Linked DNA regions of Caenorhabditis elegans. The protein of the gene in region 1 purifies or fractionates together with the protein of each later gene. This does not show direct contact. Each region holds a gene or a part of one and is shown in the gene's direction. Other genes may lie near its edges.

Region 1 (2,922 bases):
TACTGCTGCACAAAACCAAGGGTAAGTGTGTAAAATAGATTTTTCTATTTAATAGTATTTTCCAGAGCTTGCGGTCCTGCAGTCAAGCTTCTTCTGATTCAATATGGTCTGGAAAATCGAAAAATTGATGGAACAGGCCCAAAAAACAAAAATATTCTGAAAGGCGATGTTATGAAAATAGTTGAAGCTGAAAAGCTGAAGCCGGTGGCTCATCATGCACATGCTCCAAAAGAAACACATATTGAAAATAAATCTATTGAAAAGGTTTGGAAAAATGTTTCAAAAATTACATATTGTTTTGTTTTGCAGAAATCAGACATTTTCGGCGCCAACAATCGCAGTCTCCGTCATCACCAAGATATTCCTCTCAGCAATATTCGAGCAACAATCGCAAAACGATTGACAGCTTCTAAAGTAAAAATTCGAAATGTTATTATTGGAGAAAATATTTTATTTCAGCAGCAAATTCCTCACGAATATCAAGGTGTTGACGTTCGAATTGACGATATTCTGGCGTTGAGACAGAAATTGAAAAAATCCGGAACTGCTGTTTCGCTCAACGACTTTATCATAAAAGCCGCAGCCCTTGCACTGAGGGTAGGCTTTTCAAAATTTCTTCGTAAATGAGAGCTCTATTTCAGTCCGTGCCGACAGTAAATGTTCGATGGACTCCAGAAGGAATCGGTCTCGGATCAGTCGATATTTCGGTCGCTGTGGCTACTCCAACCGGCCTTATCACTCCAATTGTAGAGAATTCTGATATTTTGGGCGTTTTGGCGATTTCTAGCAAAGTGAAGGAGTTGTCGGGATTGGCGCGAGAAAGCAAATTAAAACCACAACAGTTCCAGGGAGGATCTTTTACGTGAGATTTATTCTATTTGTTTCGGTTACTTCAAATATAATTACAGAAATTATTGAAACGTTCACAACGTTCAAAAAATGTATCCACATCAAACAACTTCTAGAGATCTTTGAAGTTTTTTATGTTTCTGTTCTAATTTCTCGTAAGAGAGAAGAATTGATAAAGAAATCACATGATAATCATGCAAATTTAAAAGCTATCATCCCGAAATGATACAAAAATTAGAAAATTTCAGAATTTCGAATCTTGGAATGTTCGGAAGTGTGACCAACTTCACAGCCATCATAAATCCACCGCAATGTGCCATTTTGACGATCGGAGGAACTCGTTCTGAAGTTGTATCTGTTGATGGACAATTGGAGACACAAAAATTGTAAGGACTGATACCTAGGAAATTAAAAAAAATCTCTGCCATCAAAATTAAATAATCCCATCAGATTAATATGTATTTTTTTCTAGAATGGGTGTCAATCTTTGTTTCGACGGACGAGCAATCTCCGAAGAATGTGCAAAACGATTCCTTCTTCACTTCTCCGAATCGCTTTCTGATCCGGAATTGCTCATTGCTGAACCACTTTCTCCAGAACTCGATTTTGATTTTTCGCGTTTATTGTAGTTTCGAATTAGACAGGATTCTCATACTCTTCATAGCACCGATGTACTCTAATATTAGATAAAATGAAGTCGAATTTTTAATTTGAATGCAATTCGAAATTTGAAAACACTTTCCGCGTGAATCGCCCTAAAAATATCGCGTCGTCCAACATTTTCTTCCACAATTTTCGATTATTTTCAAGATGTCCCCTTCACTTCTTGGTTCATCATTTCTTCGCTCAGCTTCTGGCAACTTCACAAAGTTCGCAAGTATCCGAAATGCACACTTTTTGTCATCGGTTCCAATGAAGAAGCGTGGAGTTGATGGAAATCTACCAAAAGATTATTTCGAAAATAAGGTAGGACTGAATAATTTAAATCACCTATTTACGTTGCAAAATTTATTTTCAAAAATTGAAAAAAAAAGAATTTCAGACAGTAGTTGTCTACTTCTCAGCTGGATGGTGTGGATCCTGCAAATTTCTGACTCCAAAGATCAAGAAATTCTACAATGCTGTAAAAGAATCGGATGCTGGAAAGAATCTGGAAATCGTATGGGTGTCGAAGGACAAAGAAGCAGCCCACCAAGAAGAATACTATGAGAAGAATCTTCCAGACTGGCCATATATTCCATTTGGAGATGAAAATATTCAGTGAGAGAAATTTCCAAAATTTATACTGAAAAAAATTATAATTTTTCAGAAAGCTATCGGAAAAGTACAAAGCAGTGGTGATACCGGTTCTGAAACTCGTTAACTCCAATGGAGATGTCGTTCATGATCGTGTCCGTGCTGACGTAGAAGCTGGAATCAAGGCGGATCCTGTGAAGACTATGGAGGAATGGAAGAAATTGTTGAATCAGTGATTTACACAGATGACTCAACTAGACTTGAATATTATGTACATTTTAGTAGAGAAAACATTGATTATGGGTTCTTTTAAGTAAATAATTTCCATTACAATTTGTTCTTTTTCTCACCAATATTTTCCAGACGAACACTAAATACAAAAAATGCATTCTCGAAAATTCTCACATATATTCCCCATATACATCCTGTTATTCTCTCCCATTCCGCTCACTGAACAACAGCATCAGAAATAGAGAGTCTGAACCTACACGACAACGAAAATAATGATAATGAAACGAGAAAAGCACTAAAAATGGGCAAGGCGGTGTGTGGTTGCTATGGGATTCCATCTCTTTCCCCTCTAACTGATTAGAGAAGCAGTCGGGCAAAAAAAATATTGAAAGGAAAAGTACGCGGTTTTGTTTGGCTTCGTCTCATTTTTTCGTATAGTCTGATGTTCTAATGTTGATGGCAAAAGACATTATTGAAATGGAGGAGAGCGGTGGGTTAACTTCTAAAATTGCTATTTTTATTTCAAAATCTTAGTTTGTGGTAATAAAAATATGAGAGGACGTATGGCAGATACATAATAAGTATATGTATTTTTAATGCAAAAAT
Region 2 (4,090 bases), on another chromosome or scaffold:
TTTCAAAATTTTTAATCCAAAATTTTTAGAATTTCAGAACTATTTCTTGAATGTTGTTTTTTTCGGAATTTTCAAATTTCTAGAAAATTTAAATACTTCTGAAACTGTAGTTTTTTGAATTTTCAGAATATAATGAATATCAGAGGTTTTGAATTGTTAGTTGTTTTTAGATACTGAAATAATTTTTGGCGATTTTCGGCTTTCAGAATTTTCAGAATATTTTGATTATTTGAGGTTCTGAATTGTTGGTTTTTTGAAAGATTTTTCCATGAAACTTTTTTGCGATTTTCTGCAAAAATTCCCACGAAAAATCTCAAAACTGGAAGGTATAAATGCGGTGACAAATATTAAAAAAAAACAATTCTCTGATTCCGTACAATTTTGCAAAAATTTCCAGCAAAGCGACAGGTATCTTCTGATCTCATTCACTTCAAGTTAACGTCTATATTCTTTTCAACTCAGCGGGCTCAAGTCCTCTTGTGTCTTTTATAATTACATGTAGCATTAGGTTTCCACAACGACCACGTCTCCGTGCTCTTTTTGAAACACCCATAATTTACATTCCATCAGACAGCTCGATTCTGATTGAAGTTTTCACTTTTTTCGAAATTTATGTATTGCTCCCCCCGGGTTACAAGCATATGTATAGTCGATTTTGAAACGATTTTGTTTCACTGAAAGTTTAAAAAAATGTTTTTTGAAACCTAGAAAAATGTGTTTTTTATTATATTTTCCCCAGAGTTGCATTTCTTTCTAGCAAATTAGAATGCCCAGAGTAGTTCAAAAAAATGTTTTGCCCCTTGTCTTTGTGATATCTTTTTCCGTACCTTCCTCCAAACTTCTCACCACAACCATTATATGGGCGGAGCCTAATAAACCCCTCCTGTTTCACAATTCAAATTTCCAGGTACATCATGTCATCAAAAGAGCTCTATAGACTCAAAACTTTCGACGATCACTATTTCGAAATGTCCACCGAATCAATCGGAGATCCTCTCCCAGATGGCAAGCCAAGTCCAACAGGGAAAAGCTTCCAACTATGTGATACCAGTTCCGAACGTCAAAGGAATTACCATGAAGATGGTTGTCACCTGGTGCATCCGTCATCGAGTCGAAGTTCCGAGCACTTCTACGTGGGAAGTTGACTATGTTAAATCATTGGATCGAGAGGAACTGAAAGATGCGATATGGGCCGCCAAGTATCTTCGAATGCCAATTCTTATTAATATTACTAGTTCTGAACTGTTTTTGCGAGCCGAAAATACACCGGTAGAGAGGTTAGATGAAGTGTATCCGATGCCGCACTGTGTAGGCAGAGCTCCGGAGAGAAGCACCAAAATCACCATTCACAAATTCAAATAAACTTGGATACAATTATTTTTGTTTTCTTTTAGTACTCAGTTCATAAATATATTAAAGTGGGATCCATCTTCGTTTTTTAGTGATTTTACAAAAGTTTTATAGTAGAAAAAAACAGAAAATAAACTGTTGCGTTCAATGCTGAAACATTTTTCAATGTTTGAAATGATAATTTTATTCGAGATTTCCAATGAATAAATAACTTTTCATAGAAGGTAGTTTTGGGAAAAAAAATTGGAAATTTTCGCGTCCAGAAAGTATGGAGTCCTATCAATGACTGAAAATATAAAATACTCTATAAGAATAAGAAATTGATATGTTAATAATCAGAAAAATACAATAATTAAAAAAATTCATAGAATCAAGTGAATTATTAACCAAAACTTTAATTCTATGCCATTTCAATTGCTGTTCATCGCGTGTATCGAATTCATTGACTTGCTTTGAACCAACAAATCAATCAATGCCCTCAACATTTTTCTCAATATTATTAAACATGTTGGCTTCAGAAAAAAGTGCTCTTTCATCTCCCTCCGCCTACTCATCTCTCCATCTCTGCCCCTCAAATCTCTCAGCTTCCGTCACCTGTTACTGACGGAATTGATCAGTGAGAAGCTCTTCGAGCGTTTTCATTACATATGTTCAGCCATCTTATTAGTTCTAAAAGGTTAGTTTCAGAATGGTTTTGGCTCCGTTTTTCGAGAAAGCTCCATCGCTTATCATTGCTCCAGACGGATCAGTTCTGTTCGAATGCATCTGTAATGCGAATCCACAACCAACAGTTAAATGGTAAAAGATTTTGGTTTATGAACCCCTAACCTTAACTACTGTAGGTTTTTGAAAGACAAAGAGCTGACTGGTGATCGTTACGTGTCAAAGATCAAGAAGATGGTTGGCAAGTTCACAGTTACACTGCATATCAAGGTAAGTAAGATTTTTGTAATACTGATAAACTGATCGGGATTCTAGATTAAGAAGAGAATAAGAAGAAAGGAACGGATAGAACACTTGATCTGGTTTTTAGAGGGAAACTTAAATTGTAAGAACATGGTGTAATATTGACCTTCGAAACACTTGCCTCGAGATTTTGTTTCACATTTATTTTAAAGTAAAAAACTTCAGAAACAATTTATTGACCTAGAAAATGTCGGCCATTCTTTTAAAAACCGTTCCTGGAAAGTTTGGGATGGTCTCCGGCAGGAACAAAAATTGAAAATAGGCTATACAATTTCGGAAAGTTTTTTTTTTCATTTATCGGAATCGAACATATATTTAAGGGCTGTGCGGTATTTTTTCGGCAAACCCACAATAATGTTTATTTCAAAATGATAATCCAACTTTTTTCATGCAAAATTAACATAGAAACGTAGAGAAAGGTTTGTTCTATCTGGAAAAAATACAAATTTTTTTGAAAAGTTTGAAAAAAAAGTTCAAATAGTGTCTGAAAGTTGTCGTTTGTCTAAACACTTTTAACGGCACTTTTTTGGCAAACGTCAACTTTCATGCACTATTTTTGATTTTTTAAAATTTTCCAACAAAAATAAATATGCACCATAACTGGCTAGATTCACCGTCGATGCACCATATCAAGTTAGATGCACCGTAACTGGTCAAATGTACCATAACTAGTTAAATGCACCATAACTGGTTAGATTCACCGTAACTGGTCAAATGTACCATAACTTGTCAGATGCACCATAACTGGGTAGATTCACCATCGATCATCAGCATAATTCACATACAATTTTTTTGAAATTCAGCTCAAAAATGAAGCTTGATGATGAAAATTAGGCAATGGGAATATTCATACTTTTTGAAAATAAAATTACTTTATATTAAAAATTTCAAAAAGTTGCTAAAAAATTGCCTCAATGCCGTAACACCCATCGGCATACTCACTTGGCACATTTTAAATCAAATGCCAATTTTGATCACTTTTTCATAATCTTCACTAAAATAACGCTATCTTCTAAAAGTACAAATACTTCTCTATATTTTCATATGAATTTCCAGAAATGAGCATTCTAGATAAGTTAATAACAAAGAAAATGTTTCCAGAACCCTACCCAAGAGGACCAAGGAGTTTACAAAGTGACTGCTACAAACACCCATGGCTCACACTCCGTTGAGCAGCAGTACATCTACAAATGCACTGGAAAAGAGGTTTTCAAGACTCTTGACTAAATTCTGCTAGATTTCTTTAATATTTCTTCCAATAAACTTTTCCGTCGCTATACTGTATCTTAATATCACTCGTAGAAGAAACAACGTGGTTATCATGTGATAAGAAGGTCAGAAATAGAGAGAAAAGATGTCAAAAATACTAGGAATTTTGAGTGTAGAGTTCAGAAAAACAGATTGAACAAAAAACGAAGTATACCCGATCAGGGAGATCGGTTTTTGGAAGGAAATAAAAATGATCACATGTGCAGAATAGTAAAAATGTTGATTGAGAAAATTTTGTTGGCGACATGTTGGAGTCAGATCTGTTCGAGAGTTCAAGTTGATAAGAATTCTAGTTTAAAAGTTTAGACTTTTGGTTTGGACATCTGAACTACAGGCTGATAGTTTAAACTGTAGGTACAGAATAGTATGAAAACCGTACGAGCAAACTTTGATGTCAATTTCCTTTGGTAAACATTCAGAATCAAAGATGGGAATGTTTGAAGACTTTTATGAAGTGTGCCAAATATAAAAGTACAATTTTTCAAAAAAAAAAAAAATTGAAAAT

Evidence for each region. The genes of interacting proteins can lie anywhere in the genome.
Region 2: the proteins of C30H6.8 (region 1) and oig-2 fractionate together in Caenorhabditis elegans (co-fractionation; one large-scale study listed by BioGRID). This does not show direct contact.

Annotation. Positions count from the first base shown.
Region 1 is NC_003282.8:17,380,670-17,383,591, forward strand, and holds C30H6.8 (protein-disulfide reductase), read left to right. Parts: upstream 1-1,659; coding exon 1,660-1,815; intron 1,816-1,891; coding exon 1,892-2,109; intron 2,110-2,158; coding exon 2,159-2,321; 3' UTR 2,322-2,410; downstream 2,411-2,922. Other genes in the region: dlat-2 (2-oxoacid dehydrogenase acyltransferase catalytic domain-containing protein), read left to right, coding at 1-21, 66-264, 310-414, 460-597, 642-862, 1,098-1,235, 1,322-1,478; C30H6.12 (BESS domain-containing protein), read left to right, coding at 2,767-2,806.
Region 2 is NC_003280.10:13,006,112-13,010,201, reverse strand, and holds oig-2 (Ig-like domain-containing protein), read left to right. Parts: upstream 1-2,037; 5' UTR 2,038-2,038; coding exon 2,039-2,148; intron 2,149-2,192; coding exon 2,193-2,283; intron 2,284-3,417; coding exon 3,418-3,543; 3' UTR 3,544-3,589; downstream 3,590-4,090.